Schizosaccharomyces pombe: one gene and its partners. The protein of the gene in region 2 interacts with the protein of the main gene of each other region in a biochemical or structural test. Each region holds a gene or a part of one and is shown on either strand. Other genes may lie near its edges.

Region 1 (3,952 bases), 3.4 Mb from region 2:
AGGAGATGCTATGAAAGGACAAGATACTCTTGGTAGTGATAATTTAATCCTAGAGGCTAAAAAGAAAGGACTGAAATTGGAATTGAATGATAATAATGAGATAGTAGATCAACGTCAAATCTTGACTGCTGGACTGAATATTCGAAAATCATCTGCTAACAATTCAATGAGGGATGATAAGAAACGGAATCATAAGTCAAGCTATAAACGGTCACTTTCTCCATCGACTAGGTATCATCAAGATCGCCCAGATAAACGCCATGGGACATACTCACTAGAGGAAATTGACAAACAACGAAAAGAATTTGAAAATCGACAACGTCTCCAGAAAGAAAAGGAATTTCAAAAATCAAGAGAAGCTGCGTTAAAAATACACGCAAGTCGCAATACTACAGAAACTCAAGTACAATCTGCGCGAGAACGTTATTTGCAACGAAAAAAAAAAGCTGCTACGAACCCTTAAATCATCTTTTTAATGTTATGTATATTTATATTTAATCTAAACCTTTGTACATTATTTAGTCAATAGCATAACCTGCCTTCGTCGCAATTGTAATCAATAGGTAAAGGATGAATGAAACAGAAGCGGCAATACATGAAATGCCAAAAGAAAACAAAAGGCTCCTTTGATAAGTCGTCGATGCTCATAAAATCAACCATTTATTTCAAAATTCGCTCGAATTTTTTATATAAATATGCAATCAGATCGCTTCACGCAACGGAATTGAAAAGACAAGCAGTCTATTTTGCCATGATTCTCTGTACAAAGTCATAATAGTCAAAGCTTCCAGAATTAGTAGGATCGGCCTCTTGCACCATCAATTGTACTTCGTTATCTGAAAGCTTCTCACCTAACGTTTTCATATAATCGGCAAATTTAGCGGTTTCGATATAACCACTATTGTCCTTGTCGAAAACTCTAAATGCTTTTATATATTCTTCCTCTGATTCTGTTTCCCTTAATTTGTTGGAAACAAAGCTCATAAATTTTTTTTCATCAATGGCATCGCCTAATTCATTAGAAAGCTTTGCTAATTCGGCATCAGTAACATTGATTCCGAGACTTCTCAAAACGGAACCCACATGACTCGTAGGAATCAAACCGTCTTTGTCGATATCATAAAGGACAAATGCCTCTTTCATTTCATCGGTTTGTTCTTTGGAGGCAGGCATATTGTTTGCTCAAATAACGTAAACAAAAGCTAAAGCAGGCGATAAACGTGACAAGGAAATAGTTTTATAAAAAAAGGGAAATAGCTTGAATTCAAGAGCTATTATAAATCAAAGTTAAAGCACAGAAACAATGATTTTGTTTGAGGTAAATGATTTATGAAGTTGGTGGAGTCCATCTATCCTGTCAAACATCCTTTATTTGTTACCTCTCTCCACTAAAGTAACGGGTTTGCTGGACTGGTGCGGGCTAAGAATGCTATTAATGGATATATTTATATTCAGAGTATGTATTACCTTTATATACTAATATATATTCCCTTATTGAGTATTATCTTTATAAGACAATATGATTAAATAAATGTGTATAAATAAATGGCTGGCTCACAATAGCAAATGACTATAATCAACTTACATAATAAGATTATTTTTTCAACTAGGAAAACTCCACAAGAAGTAACTTTTTTAAATGGAAATCGGTTCCTTCTTTAATAATCTAAATGTTGAGTAACTTAGGTTTCAACGCTACCTTTTCTTCCTTGTCTGTGACAGTTGATACTTGAGCTATCCTCATAATTTTATTATATGATCTTAATTGGTAAAGTAACGTAACACATATTGTAATATGAAGGTACTATGAAAATGCTTTTGAAATAAAAGCGTCAAGTGCGAAAACGTAACACCGGCTACTTCAAACTCGAGGTTTTTCCTTTTATTATCTGTACTGGATTTTAGATTTCTCTTTCTCTTATGCTTTATGATACAACGTAGAAAAGCACATTTAATGCAGCGTAATATTTGTTCGCTGTATATTACTTTACGAAATCGAAGGAGTTAACTGTCTATGAGCTTCGCAAAATTCTTGTTTTGTTTACGTATTTGCGAAATTTAGATAAAAATTGAAGGAAACAAGTATTTTGAAACTCTTATGTTAATAAATCTTTATTTCATAAAATTCTGAAACTTGAAAAACTGCTCTGATTTTGTTAAAATTTTTGATATATTATAGCACTTTGGAAACTGTATCGACTTGCCTAAACATGAAGATCGATAAAGCCATATTTACTAATCAATTTGGAGTTCCTCTTCCATCTGACAATCCTTATGTTGCATTACACGATTTCGTGTATGATTTAGAAGTAGCCATTCCAGAAGACGAATTTGAAGCATTTAAAGAACAATTGGCAAATCCTAGAAATTCTTGCATGTGAAGTTCGGGAAAGCATAAGTAAAAAAGATAGTATATTTCAAACTTACGAAATGCTTCAAGAGCTTAAAGATGGTCAAAGTAGCCTCAGAGAAGATCTGAATCATCTTAGCCATGGTCAAAATGTTCTCAAAAAAAATATGGTTTATTTGAATGGAACATTTGAGTGCATTAGTAACGTTATTAGAGCCAATAACCAGATACTGATGCTAGAATTTGGAAAGTCGAATCGGAAGTAAACGAATTGAAAGTCTCAGCTCAAAGATCCGAAGAAATTCTCAATTATAAGTCTGCCAAACAAATGAATTCAAATTTATCTACCATATACAGGGTTCTCCCTCTGATAAAGATATTCCTGATGAATATCAGAAATTGCCTTAACTGAAAGCTATATCAAGGATTGTTGTGGTTTGTCACATTTTTGACGAGAATTATTTCATAAGGTTTATTTAAAAAGGAACTAGAAAGATTTGGATGAATTTGTTATGAAAAATAAAGCTTATGATTGTTTGTGGAACATCAATAAGGCACTTCAAAAGCACCGAATAACCTCAAAATCTAGCTCTTATCAATCTTAAAGGCAATTTTTTACTGTTTAAATCATCTTGAATATTTTCTTATATTTCCTTTCAACGATTTAGCATAGTTAATTATCATCACTCAACCAAATTTCTTTAGCATTATAAACAAGCCATTGCGAAGTGTGTTTTGTCCTTGGAATTTAATGGATTAACTGTTAGCATTTATTTTATTTTTTTCTAAATTTCTGAGTTTTCTTACTTTTGTTGTCTATAATGATCAAAACACAAGGTTTGAGTTAATATACTAATATTTTTCTTTTACCAATTTATACATTGTAATAAGATAGGTTGTAAGATTTAAAGCGAGCTTTTGATTTCAATTGAATACAAATTCGCCAAGCCGTTATAAATTTACATTTAAAGAAAACAGTTACATGGATTACTATCAATGAAATAGTAAAAAATACTCGATTGGAAAACTTGGCCTTTTGGAAAGCAATTTAATGCATTTTTTAATACATTTGCAAATAAGGATCAATAGCAAAATATAACGAATTTTAAAGATGCATAAGTATTCATCGCTAACTTTTGGTAGTCACGATAACTACTGGCGAAACAATTTTCTGACGCCCGCCAATATCGCTGGATCGAGGATTGTTCATTCACCTGCGTTCTGCGATTGTATTATTGAAAAAATGACGGACACTCATCCAGGAGTTGATTTTATGATCAAGCCTGAGGCTACTTCTGCTTCTAAAATTGATACCGCTGAGTGGCCATTGCTCTTGAAAAACTTTGACAAGTTGCTCGTTCGTACTGGTCATTATACACCTATTCCCTGTGGTAATAACCCTTTGAAACGTCCAATTGCGGAATATGTTTCTTCAGGTGTCATCAATTTAGACAAACCGGCTAATCCATCTTCTCATGAGGTTGTTGCCTGGGTTAAAAAAATTCTTCGTGTTGAAAAAACTGGTCACAGTGGAACTTTGGATCCCAAAGTTACCGGATGTTTGATCATTTGCAATGACAGAGCCACCCGTTTGGTCAAATC
Region 2 (5,490 bases):
GCGGTTTTATCGCTATGAAAAGAAAAAGGCACCACCCCAAAGCGAGCAGTAGTATATATACAGCTCGAACACCGGAGCCACTATTTACCAAAGTAACTGACAATGCTAATAAAATCCAGCCGATAACATCGTTACCAATGCCAGCACTAAGAACGATTACGCCGACCCGTTTATGTAATAAGTGCAATTCTGAAAGGATGCGGGCCAGCACAGGAAAAGCGGTAATTGACATAGCTGTGCTAATAAAAAGTAGAAATTTACCAAATTCAAATTCTCTAGTTGTAAATTTGTATAGGCCTGCGGATATTCCAGCTCCAGCCCCAAAAGGAATGACAATACTGAAGACCGTCACCAGAAGAGTCACTTTGTAATTTAAAACAAGGACACGAAGATCAACCTCCATTCCTATAACAAAAAGAAAGAGTACCAAACCAAGATTAGAAACCAAGTTAAGTGGACCCATAGAACTAGTTGGAAAAATGTAATCCAAAAACTTTGGAATCCTACCCATCACAGTAGGACCAAGCACAATTCCACCTATACTGTTGTTCTGTTAACAACTATAGAAACCAAAAAGTAGGTACAGGAAGCTTCTCTTTTTCGAGTGATAAGAAATACTGCCCTGATTGACAACTTTCTTATCGTGCCAATCTGAGAAATTATAAAACATCTATTAACTTTTTAAAAGCTTCTTTCTTACTTCCGATATCACTTACATCTCCGCAATTACTCTTGGCTGCTGTAGAAAAGACAGAGGAATATGAATCAGTCGACATAATGCAATAATAATGATTGCCTAAAGTTGTTATTATAAAATTTCCCATTAAATGAGACATACCTGTACGATGAACAAAAGCAATGGGTCCGATGCACTGTAGACAACGACATTATCGCCGTCAAATATGCTTTGCGTTGACATGCCTAACAGCGGATTAGTTGTTATATGAACAAACCGATTGATATTTGAAATATAGTCATTGATGCACCTACTGCTATATTCGATTATATGCGAGTTAAGATAACTTCAATCGACTTAAGTTTGCAATTTTTTATGAACCCTAACACACATTGCATATAGTAATGGCGAGGTGCTAGTTGCTTAGTGGTAAGTTTTTACAGCAATATACCCTCGTGTTTTTAGCGAATAAAAAATTGAGACTTATTAACATGCTATGAGTTTAATTTATTTTAGGTAATGTAAGTTGTGAGACACAAACGGAACCTTCAAATTTAAAAACTGACAAACACCGTCTTAGGGACGGCGAACTCGGGTACCAATTTTATAAGTGTAGCGGATTTACTAATAGAAAGCAGAAACCTATTGAATATTTTTTAATAAATGCAGTACTTTTTGATGAACCGTCATGGTTCCTTTCCTCTAATATGAGCGATTGTTAAAAGTACCCCACAAAACTTTCATATAAGATACTCGAAATTATTTAAACGTGTATAAATTTTATATTGCTTCTCTAAAAAATAAAAGAAAATTGAAAATATTAACATTAGCAGCATATCAGAAGAAACAAGAAAAAGTAATCTTTAGAATACGACACAAATCTGCAAGCAATTAAGGTATTACAGAAATCCATAAAAAATTCCAAATCCTAATTAATGCCAAATTTTCTAATACAGACTTGTTTATCGACACCCAAAAGAAAGTGTTACTTGTAACAACGATTTCGATTTTTTTCAATAAAGTATCGAGAAAAGCAGCATAATCGGAATGAATATGCTAACGTTTTAAAAAAACTATAGCATATTCATTGGATGAGGTTATAAAGGGCTAAAAGTTAACATACAGCCTACGGCCTGTGACGTTGTCAAAAGTTGCGCAGTGAAATTTTAAAGCCGCATTTAGGTATCTAAGGAGTAGAACACATCGTTCTCTGGAGCGTCTATGAAAGAATGAACAAACAACAAACATAATACTGGATTGCAGCTGAAAGGAAAGCTAAAGCGTCCAATGGAATTTCAATACACTGAGAAGCAGCCAAAATCATAACTTACAACTTTCGCAATTAAGGAGAAAGAAATCGAATAATCCCCAAGAATGACAAATATTTTATCGTTAATATAACCCACATCTCTTACAAAACGTGTATTTCTCAAAATCCAAACAGAAGAAGAACAACAGGGAAGCCGAATCAAGAATATCTAAAGGGGAACTATTCTTCATCCGACTCACCGGATCCTTCTTCTTCATCGTCATCGTCAGCAACGACATCTGCAGAATATTGAAGAGCAGGCGCAGGTCCTTCTAATGCAGAAGCAAAGACATCGTGAAAGTCTCCTGGAACAAGGTCAATTGGTCGAAAACCATCGTTGTTGGTAAGAAGCGGATCGGCACCAACCTCCATAAGCATCTCCACTATAATGAAACAATAGTTAGACAAATACACTCAACAAAGCAAACACTATAAACTATCCCGAAGCAAAATCGATGTTTGTGAAATAAGCGGAAGCAAAGTACAAAATTATGAGAAAGTAATATCAAAGAATTGTTTGAATTTTACATAATATAAGCGATCTTGCATACGTTGAATCATTCGTAAAACAACGTAGAAATACACAACTCGACTTTGACCATAACTTCCGAAAATAACAAAGAACACGAAAGCAATGATTAGCACTTCGGCTTGTAAATTCACTTACCCATACGTAAAGCAGTTTCCTGATCTTTTTTTATAAACATAACGGCAAAGTGTAAAGGTGTGTCCCCTGTCATACGACAGCGGTTATTCAAATTTACGCCAGATATATCTAAAAGCCAGTCAAGGCACTCTAGGGAACCATATTTTGTACAGACATGAACACAATCGTTTCCAAGTGAATCACGAGCATTATTGATGAAGCTCACTCCGTCTCCTTCCTGTTGGTGAACAACTTCCTCAAGCATGTCAACATTATTCGAGCGGCAAGCCGCAATTAACATTTCCGCTAAAAAATCGTTAGCAACTTGATACAGCCAATAAATCAAGCAGCGCTCTTACATGGCTTAGCTCCTTCAGTTGACATTCTCGTGACTATAGTGTATTATGTATTTGGTAAGTATGTTAGTTCTTCGGTCCGCTGAATGGATCTCTATATATAAGTGGGGGGCGTGGGGGACGGAAATGTTCGTCAGTTACGAATAAACAAAGCATATACTAAGAAACTGTTTAATCATTACTTCTCCAAATGGTATTGCAATTGATGAATTTAACAGTGGGTTTTCAAAATTTTGAGAACCTATGTTAACCTTTGCTTTGAGTTTATCAATGATTGCAATATGACCTAAATAAAGCAATGAATTAATAAAATTAGTACTTTAAGCACTTAAATTTATTTCTTTTATAACGAAAAACTGTCCTATAGTGACCAAACATTTAGTTCTCATATCCCGGATTATAACCGTTTGTATAACATATCTACGCATTCGACACAGCCAAAAGGCTTCTTCCTCTGAAAGAAAAATAAACAACATAAGTAAAATATATGCACAAAGCAATTGAACAGATGATCTTGGTACAAGTCAACTCTAATAATTTATACGGAATATTTGATAAGAAACTATAGAGTATGAAAAGATGAAAAAAACTGGTAAATAATTGTAATGAAGTAAAAATATGTAAGAATAAGCGTTTTCTGATGATCATTTTAAGAATATGGATTATTGTTATATACCTGTATTGCTTAGACTTCTAGTATCCACATCAAGAGTTTTCATATTTGTTCTTAAAAAATGGAATTCAAGCCTACTATTACTTTCATTCATCTTTTTAATAAACTTGTACGGATCTAATTATCATCATTATTTGAATCTACTCCGGCTAATTTAAGATACAAGATATTTAATTTTTCATATATTATATATATTCTATTAGACACCACTTCTCAACTAACTCCTGATGGTGTAGTTGGTTATCACACCCGGCTGTAATTTCGATGATACCGGTTGGTCGCTAGTTCGATTCTGGCTCAGGAGATCTTTTTTGCTTCCACCTGGTAAACTTTAAAATATAAATAAATATATGTTCAGATCTGATAAACCTTATTGTTGCAATCAATATCTCATTATAAAACGATAGGATGTTATCACTTCAATATTATCTTTCCATCCTTCGTGAATATTCCTAACTCACTTAAACTTTTCTATCAGATGTTTTTAATGAAGCCCTTTAATCAAATTAACAAGGATCCTAAACTACTTTATAAAATATAAGCAACTAGAGCTGACTAAAAAAATAATAATGTGTAGATATCCTTAATTAGGTAGGTATAGGCTCATAAGTATTCAATTAACAACTCTTAAAACCAAACAAAAAAAAAAGAATTAGAAAGGTCTAAACACTATCATTATGTCAGGGTTTCGTCCAAGTTACGCTTTCGATGTTCAAAGGTTTCTTGTAGAAGTTTGCCAATAAGTGGTCTACCTGAGCTTAATTCAATCAGCAACGCGTTTAATCGCTTATAAGCCATGAAAACCAAATCAAAATTTCGAAACTTCAGCCAGACACAATGCTTTGTGAAAGATGACAAAAGGCCAAAAGTCGTAGCATTAAAATTTTCATTAAACTCAAAGTCCAGATACATCTTAATGATTGCAGATGATAGGATACAAAAATAGAATTGGGAATACGGCCAGAAAAAATCAGTAAAATGGGATTCGTTAATGGCTAGAAAATGAGAAACACAACGTTGCACCACGTTCAACATTTCTTGCTGATATACTGCATCTGTCAGTTTAAGTTTCAATGCTGTTTTCCGTAATAACAACTCCAAGGCATCGATTTGTAAAAACAATGATAAAGATCCAGGTTGGTTCTCTCTTAAATTACAGCTACATGAAAATTCTTCCAGACTAATCAGATATTTTGATATCTTTTGAGCCACAGTACGCCGATTTTTCGACATTGTCATAACCGCTCGAGCGTTGAAAAGATGTTGTAATACATTTTGAAGCAAAATACTTAGTTCCGCCATTTTAACAAATACATTGAATGAGTCGGCAATCCTTTGCTCCCCAGCCAATAGCTGGTTGTCCGTTAATGGTGGTACTAAGTAGTCATCTTGACGAATGCTTGCATTGATCCCAATATACATCGAAAGCCATTTTTCGTTAACAAAAAGGGCCCACCACACTCGATTACGCAAGATTTTTTCTTCCTTTGGAATCTGCCATTCAGAGCAATCCAAATGGAACCCGAGAATTTGCGCTAAAGCAATCGCTCTAGTCAAAATGCTCCAGTTTCCAGCTACGTTAATCCATGGTCTTCCCGTTAAAAAAATAATCGCCGCTTGTAGCGTACTTAATCGAGAGAGAGAAAAGGAAAGATCCAAGAAATCCTCAGTAAGATCCCATAATTTTTTTGCATCCAAGCGAGGATAATTTCTTAACTCTTTATCCGCATCCCAATAAATAATTGAGGAAGCATACATCGCAGTTAAAAGGATAGGGGACAGTTTGTGTTTTGCCTTTTTGAAGGCGAGGAGAAATCTTTCGCCATGAAT
Region 3 (7,114 bases), on a different chromosome or scaffold from region 2:
GGCGAGTACTGTCTAACTGAGGACGATATACGCGTTGCGTGGAAGAGTATTAGAGCAAGCCTTGGAGAAGTTCCAATTTTGGCGTCAGAGGAGCAACTTTTAAAAGACGTTTCCAATGTACCTGAGGACGATTTGCTTATTGATATATCTGCTCCGGCTTCAACAAGTCGAAAGGTCCTTCCTGATGGAACCTACGCTACCGAGAGTGCAGTCACTAGTGAAGCTTTAAGTGCTGCTCGTTTGGAGGCTGTCAAAGCTTCAAAAAAGCCACCGTTGCGCACACAGATTTTGAGTGGTGATTACTATCTTGCTGCTGTTTTAGCTTCTGCTCTTACAAAGCTTGTGATGCGTTTTGCTCGACTTTCTTTCGACAAAGAACGATTGAACGCTCTCAAAGCTGAAGCATGTCTTATTATGACATCTATAATTCGAGTGGGTCAGTCCAAGTTTGTAAAATATACCATTGATGATGACTCTGTTGAGCGTATTATGAACTGTATCAGGGCCATATATTCCTTTGAAGAGCTTCCTGAATTCCAAACGGTGTTTCTTGATGATATGCGAAAAGCATTTTCATCACTTGTTGCTCAATCAGACAAGCGACAAAAGGAGGCAGATTTGTTAGTTAATGGAAGTGATGCTGTTCAAGCCGATGAGCTACTGAATATTCGCCAATTTCAAAGGGTCATTGAAGAAAAGCAGGATCTTAATTTTGAGTCCGACATCATACAAGCCACCAACGATGGTATGGTAGTGGAAGATTTGGCATCTAAATTAGATCATATCGTACAATTAGCCGGTTTTACAGATCCTGTTTACTGTGAGGCATATGTGAAGATACAACAATTTGATATTATTCTAGACATATTATTGGTTAATCGAACGGATACCACGTTACAGAATCTCTCTGTTGATTTGGCTACGTTGGGAGATCTTAAGGTTGTAGAGCGTCCACCACCCATGAATTTAGGACCTCATGCCTTTAAATCTGTTCAGGCTACGGTAAAGGTATCTTCAACGGAGTCTGCAGTAATCTTTGGAAATATCGTGTATGGTGGTAAAGCATCCGACGAAGACAAAATTGTTGTTTTGAATGGCATTCCAGTCAACATTATTGATTATATAAAACCCGCATTCATTCCCGAATCTCAATTCCGTAGCATGTGGACGGAATTTGAATGGGAAAACAAGGTCGATATTTCTTCCAACGAAGACATTAGTCTGTACGATTTCTTACATAAAATAATGAAGAAAACCAATATGAACTGTCTTACTCCAGACGCGTCTCTGCGTGGTGACTGTGGTTTTTTGAGTGCTAATTTGTACGCCTGCAGTATTTTTGGGGAAGACGCACTTATGAGTCTTAGCGTTGAAAAATCCGTCTCCGGTCCTATCTCAGGACATGTTCGCATTCGTTCAAAAACTCAAGGCATTGCCCTTAGCTTGGGTGCATTTGTTTAGAGTAGAATTATATAAGGAATGTTATCCACTCTTTAAATTTCTTGATGGATTAAATTCACAATGGGAAAGCTGTTATGGATGCTGATTTAGTAGGTATATCATGTGTCTAATATTTCGCTAAATCGATATCTGATACGCTGTTTTATTACTCTTGTTGTAAATACCTTTCCTGCCGTTCTTTATTTAGCTCCTTATGATATTTCTACGATTTCGCAATTAAAAGGAGCCTGCCTTGTCATGTTCTCACTACTTGATATCCTGACATTACTAAAGTTGTGTACCTTGTATTTCTCTGTAACAGGCAAGTAGATTAGCTTTCATCTCGTGCATTTAGTTTGGTATTATATATAAACCCCGTTATTTCAATTAATTATGGCACTCACAAACGTTGTCTATAAATCACTGTTTGTATTCTTTTATAAATGATATAAACAGATGATTATGTTTAAGTTACTGCAAATCATATAGCTTCTCTCATATTGTGTTACATCCTAATATCTGTAATAAGTTAATTGTCATAGAATATACTCAAGGTCAATACGAGAACTACAGTTGTATTTGCTGGGGAATTCAACCTTTTATGTCGCGTTATAATAATCTGCGGCTGCTTTGGTTCTTGAAACGGCGATAGCCGTTATATCTAAAATACTTCAAAACTTCTCGCTTTATGAAAGGTATCTTCGACTTAAAATATTCATAATTGAAAATTCATGTTCATTTAATTCATCTTATCGACTACATGAACACACAATAATCAAATCAAGTATTAACTAATTCAAGCGCGTTATGTTTATCACTTCATCATAATTAGTCGCAAATTTCATACCTTTAGTGTGTTCGTTACCTTACCTAATGAAGTTACCCTAAAACACATTTGGATAAGTTTCGTTCGAGTATGTTACATAACAAGCCTCTTTCGGCTAGGTAATTGTTTTAATGTCAATACCAAAAATGGATGAAGCAAACGACAGAAAGCTAAAGTATATTCAATTTTCAGCTAAAGTACAATTTTAATAATTGGGGTCTGAAGTTTCGAACGGTCTTTGGCAATATTGACCTAGAAACTCATATTTCGCTCATTTTAACGATCCGTAACGCAATTATCTCAGTATTAGAAGAAACCTACACGTAAGTGCGGACTTGTCGTTAACCTATCTCTTGTTCGGCCATAAGTGAATAGATTTTATGGTAAGTAAATATGCATGCCGAATGTTAGCTAATTAATAAATTAGGCCATCCTTAAGAGAACAAACCGCGCGAAAGCTGCGACTGCAGCTGCTCCCAATAGCACTGGGAAAAGCAATGGTATTAAAAAGGCTGTTTATACCAGCACACGCAAAAAGACTGTGGGTGTTGATGATTTAACCCTACTTTCGAAAATTACAGATGAGGAAATTAACAAAAACTTGGAACTGAGATTTCGCAATGGAGAGATTTATACATATATTGGACATGTGTTGATTTCTGTAAATCCATTTCGAGACCTGGGTATTTATACGATGGATATTTTGAAATCATATCAAGGAAAAAACCGTTTGGAAACGAGCCCTCACGTTTATGCAATTGCTGAGAACGCTTACTATCAAATGAAGTCTTATCATGAGAATCAATGTATTATCATTTCTGGTGAATCGGGTGCTGGTAAGACTGAGGCTGCAAAAAGGATCATGCAATATATTACACATGTTTCAAAGTCCGTTGGCACTGAAATTGAAAGAGTTTCCGAAATTATTTTAGCTACCAATCCTTTATTGGAAAGTTTTGGTTGTGCAAAAACTCTTCGCAATAATAATTCTTCTCGTCATGGAAAGTATTTAGAAATGATTTTTAATTCCGGAGGTGTTCCTGTCGGCGCTAAAATTACGAACTACTTATTAGAAAAGAACCGAATTGTTAATCAAGTTCGCAATGAGCGTAATTTCCATATTTTCTATCAATTCACCAAGAGCGCTCCTCAGAAATATCGTGATACATATGGCATTCAAGGTCCGGAGAATTATGTTTACACTTCTGCTTGTCAATGTTTGTCGGTTGATGGGATTTCAGATGAGAAGGACTTCCAAGGAACGATGAACGCCATGAAGGTTATTGGTATCACCGAGCCGGAGCAAGATGAAATATTTAGGATGCTTTCTATCATCCTTTGGTTAGGAAATATTCAATTTCAAGAAGGCCAAGATGGTGGTAGCGTGATTTCTGACAAGAGCATCACCGAATTTTTAGGCTATTTGATCGGTGTTCCTGTTGCGGCTATTGAGCGTGCCTTGACAATTCGTATTATGCAAACTCAGCATGGTGCAAGGCGCGGATCTGTATATGAAGTCCCCTTAAATCCAACACAAGCTTTGGCTGTTCGTGATGCTTTGTCTATGGCGATTTATAACTGTCTTTTTGATTGGATTGTCGAACGTGTCAACAAAGCTTTGGTCACATCAGACAACAGCGTTTCCAATTCGATTGGTATTTTAGATATTTACGGCTTTGAAATCTTTGAAAACAACTCTTTTGAACAATTGTGCATTAACTATGTTAATGAAAAATTGCAACAAATTTTTATAGAACTTACTTTGAAAACTGAACAGGAAGAATACGTGCGTGAGCAAATTGCTTGGACTCCTATCAAATATTTCAACAATAAAGTTGTATGTGATTTGATTGAATCCAAACGACCTCCTGGTCTTTTCGCAGCAATGAACGACGCTATCGCTACCGCTCATGCTGACTCTGCTGCGGCGGATAGTGCTTTTGCTCAGCGGTTAAACTTTTTATCCTCCAATCCACATTTTGAACAGAGACAAAATCAATTTATAGTCAAACATTACGCTGGTGATGTAACCTACAGCATTACAGGAATGACCGATAAGAATAAGGATCAGTTAGCAACTGATATTCTTAACCTTATTCATTCTTCCAACAACGAGTTCATGAAATCTATTTTCCCAGTGGCTGAAGAGAGTAACTCCCGTCGTCGTCCTCCTACAGCTGGTGATCGTATCAAAACTTCTGCTAATGATTTAGTAGAGACTCTTATGAAATGTCAACCATCGTATATACGTACGATTAAACCCAATCAGACTAAGTCGCCTAACGATTACGATCAGCAGATGGTTTTACATCAAATCAAATATTTAGGTTTGCAAGAAAACATTCGTATTCGTCGTGCTGGTTTTGCTTATCGTCAAGCTTTCGATACGTTTGCTCAGCGTTTTGCAGTTCTTAGTGGTAAAACCAGTTATGCAGGAGAATACACTTGGCAGGGTGATGATAAGTCTGCTTGCGAACAGATTTTGAAAGATACCAATATTCCTTCATCTGAATACCAAATGGGTACTAGCAAAGTTTTCATTAAAAATCCGGAGACCTTATTCGCGCTCGAAGACATGCGTGATAAGTTTTGGGATACAATGGCAACCCGTATACAACGTGCTTGGCGTTCTTATGTTAGAAGAAGATCTGAAGCTGCTGCTTGTATTCAGAAGTTGTGGAATAGGAACAAAGTTAACATGGAACTTGAACGTGTTCGTAATGAGGGTACTAAACTTTTGCAAGGTAAAAAGCAACGCAGAAGATATAGTATTTTGGGATCCCGTAAGTTTTATGGAGATTATCTATCAGCTTCAAAGCCTAATGGTACTCTATGGAACACATGCGGCCTCTCTCAAAACGATCACGTAATTTTCTCAATGAGATGTGAGGTCCTTGTTCATAAGCTAGGCCGCACTTCCAAACCTTCTCCTCGTCAACTGGTTCTTACCAAAAAGAATTTATATTTGGTGATTACAAAAATTGTTGACCAAAAGCTCACACAACAGGTGGAGAAGAAGTTCGCTGTATCTTCCATCGATTCTGTTGGTCTTACAAATTTGCAAGATGATTGGGTTGCAATTCGTAATAAGTCCAGCCAAAATGGAGATATGTTTTTGCGATGCTTTTTCAAAACAGAATTTATAACTACCTTAAAGAGAATCAATCGTAATATTCAAGTTATCGTGGGTCCCACCATTCAATACTGCCGAAAGCCTGGCAAGGTACAAACTGTTAAGACGGCAAAAGACGAAACCACTAAGGATTATGACTACTACAAGAGTGGAACTATTCATGTTGGTACTGGCTTGCCTCCTACCAGTAAGAGTAAGCCTTTCCCTCGCTTAGCAACTGGTGGTAGTACAGCAGCTGCTAGAGGGCCTCGCCCAGTTGTGCAGAACAAACCTGCTGCTACAAAGCCCGTATCTATGCCGGCTGCGAAGAGCAAACCTGCTCCTATGGCTAATCCCGTAAGTACTGCTCAACAAACCCAAAATCGTCCCCCTGCTCCTGCTATGCAAGCTCGTCCTAATACAACTCAAGCTGCAGCCCCAGTTACAAGTACGACTACAACTATTAAGCAAGCAACCACTGTTTCTGCTTCTAAACCAGCTCCTTCCACGGTAACTTCTGCAGCTTCTTCTCCAAGCAATATCTCTAAACCCTCTGCTCCAGTTGCTAATAACGTCAGCAAGCCTAGTGCTGTTCCTCCTCCTCCTCCTCCTCCTCCCGCTGAAGTCGAAAAGAAAGACTTGTACTTGGCCTTATATGACTTTGCGGGACGCAGTCCAAATGAAATGACTATCAAGAAAGACGAAATTATAGAAATTGTTCAAAAGGAGCCAAGCGGGTGGTGGCTTGCTTTAAAGAATGGTGCTGAAGGATGGGTTCCCGCAACCTATGTGACAGAATACAAAGGTTCTACACCTCAAACCACCGCTTCTTCGACTAATGTTGCAGCTCAAGCGAATAATAATGCTAGTCCAGCTGAAGTCAACAACTTAGCTGGTTCACTTGCTGATGCCTTGCGCATGCGAGCATCAGCTGTGCGTGGTAGTGATGAAGAAGAAGATTGGTGAGCTTTCATTATGATGTATATATAATACGGCCAGTACATTGCTTGATTCTTAATTTGCAATAATGAATGGCTTGTGACAACTATAGTCTCTCCTATCGCATGTTTTTTAGCTATCAATGAAAGCTTCTAGTATTTGCTTCTTGCATGTTTTATTGTGATAGATTGAGAATACTCTTCGTCGACGACTTTGATTAAGCAAAGCTAAATAGTAATTTAATTGTGAAATATAGTTGATACATTGCATAGCGTATACTTATAAATGGGACAAAAGTGATAGCTTCTGTAATAATATTAAAATCATTATCTTGTTTATTGTTTGAATAAATTAGTCAGCTCCAGTGGTAAAACGTAAATATAGTATAGTAGACTTCGACAATACTAAATTCCATTAGCTACCGTAGAAAGAATGAAGTTTTTCAAGCTAGCACTGCGATCAAATAATGAAAGTCCAAGGGTTCGTACAGAAGTGACCACCGGATTTTCCATTGCGTACAGCTTGTGGAACTTATCAACGACTCCTAGATAAACATGGTTTTTGAAGTAACGGTCACGGAAATACGGTTGGAGTGAAAAAACACTACCAATATCCTGACCGTGCTTGATAGCAAAAGAGAGTGCTGATATTAAAGATTCAACATCCTGAATTCCAGTATTTAATCCCTGTCCAGCTAATGGATGAGTGTTATGAGCAGCGTCCCCGCAAAGGGCAATTCCTTCTTTTACATATTCATCAACATGGGCAAGTCTCAACGGAAATGCCGCCCTAGAACC

What was found. Proteins that work in one complex are often made in the same cells at the same time.
Region 1: the proteins of ank1 (region 2) and cam2 form a complex in vitro, tested with the Schizosaccharomyces pombe proteins (one study listed by BioGRID).
Region 3: the proteins of ank1 (region 2) and myo1 form a complex in vitro, tested with the Schizosaccharomyces pombe proteins (one study listed by BioGRID).

Annotation. Positions count from the first base shown.
Region 1 is NC_003424.3:5,136,814-5,140,765, forward strand, and holds cam2 (myosin I light chain Cam2), read right to left. Parts: upstream 1,341-3,952; 5' UTR 1,174-1,340; coding exon 742-1,173; 3' UTR 501-741; downstream 1-500. Other genes in the region: SPOM_SPAC29A4.06C (splicing protein), read left to right, coding at 1-463; pseudouridylate synthase Cbf5, read left to right, coding at 3,594-3,952. UniProt on the Schizosaccharomyces pombe protein: Plays a role in meiosis and sporulation.
Region 2 is NC_003424.3:1,742,583-1,748,072, forward strand, and holds ank1 (ankyrin repeat-containing protein), read right to left. Parts: upstream 3,056-5,490; 5' UTR 3,016-3,055; coding exon 2,991-3,015; intron 2,938-2,990; coding exon 2,653-2,937; intron 2,437-2,652; exon of another isoform or gene 2,369-2,436; coding exon 2,166-2,368; 3' UTR 1,437-2,165; downstream 1-1,436. Other genes in the region: potassium ion/proton antiporter Kha1, read right to left, coding at 1-542, 717-796, 839-919; dal81 (transcription factor), read right to left, coding at 4,336-5,490.
Region 3 is NC_003423.3:1,023,463-1,030,576, reverse strand, and holds myo1 (myosin I myo1), read left to right. Parts: upstream 1-2,603; 5' UTR 2,604-2,646; coding exon 2,647-2,649; intron 2,650-2,693; coding exon 2,694-6,344; 3' UTR 6,345-6,614; downstream 6,615-7,114. Other genes in the region: coatomer beta subunit Sec26, read left to right, coding at 1-1,461; monooxygenase Coq6, read right to left, coding at 6,722-7,114. UniProt on the Schizosaccharomyces pombe protein: Type-I myosin implicated in the organization of the actin cytoskeleton. Required for proper actin cytoskeleton polarization.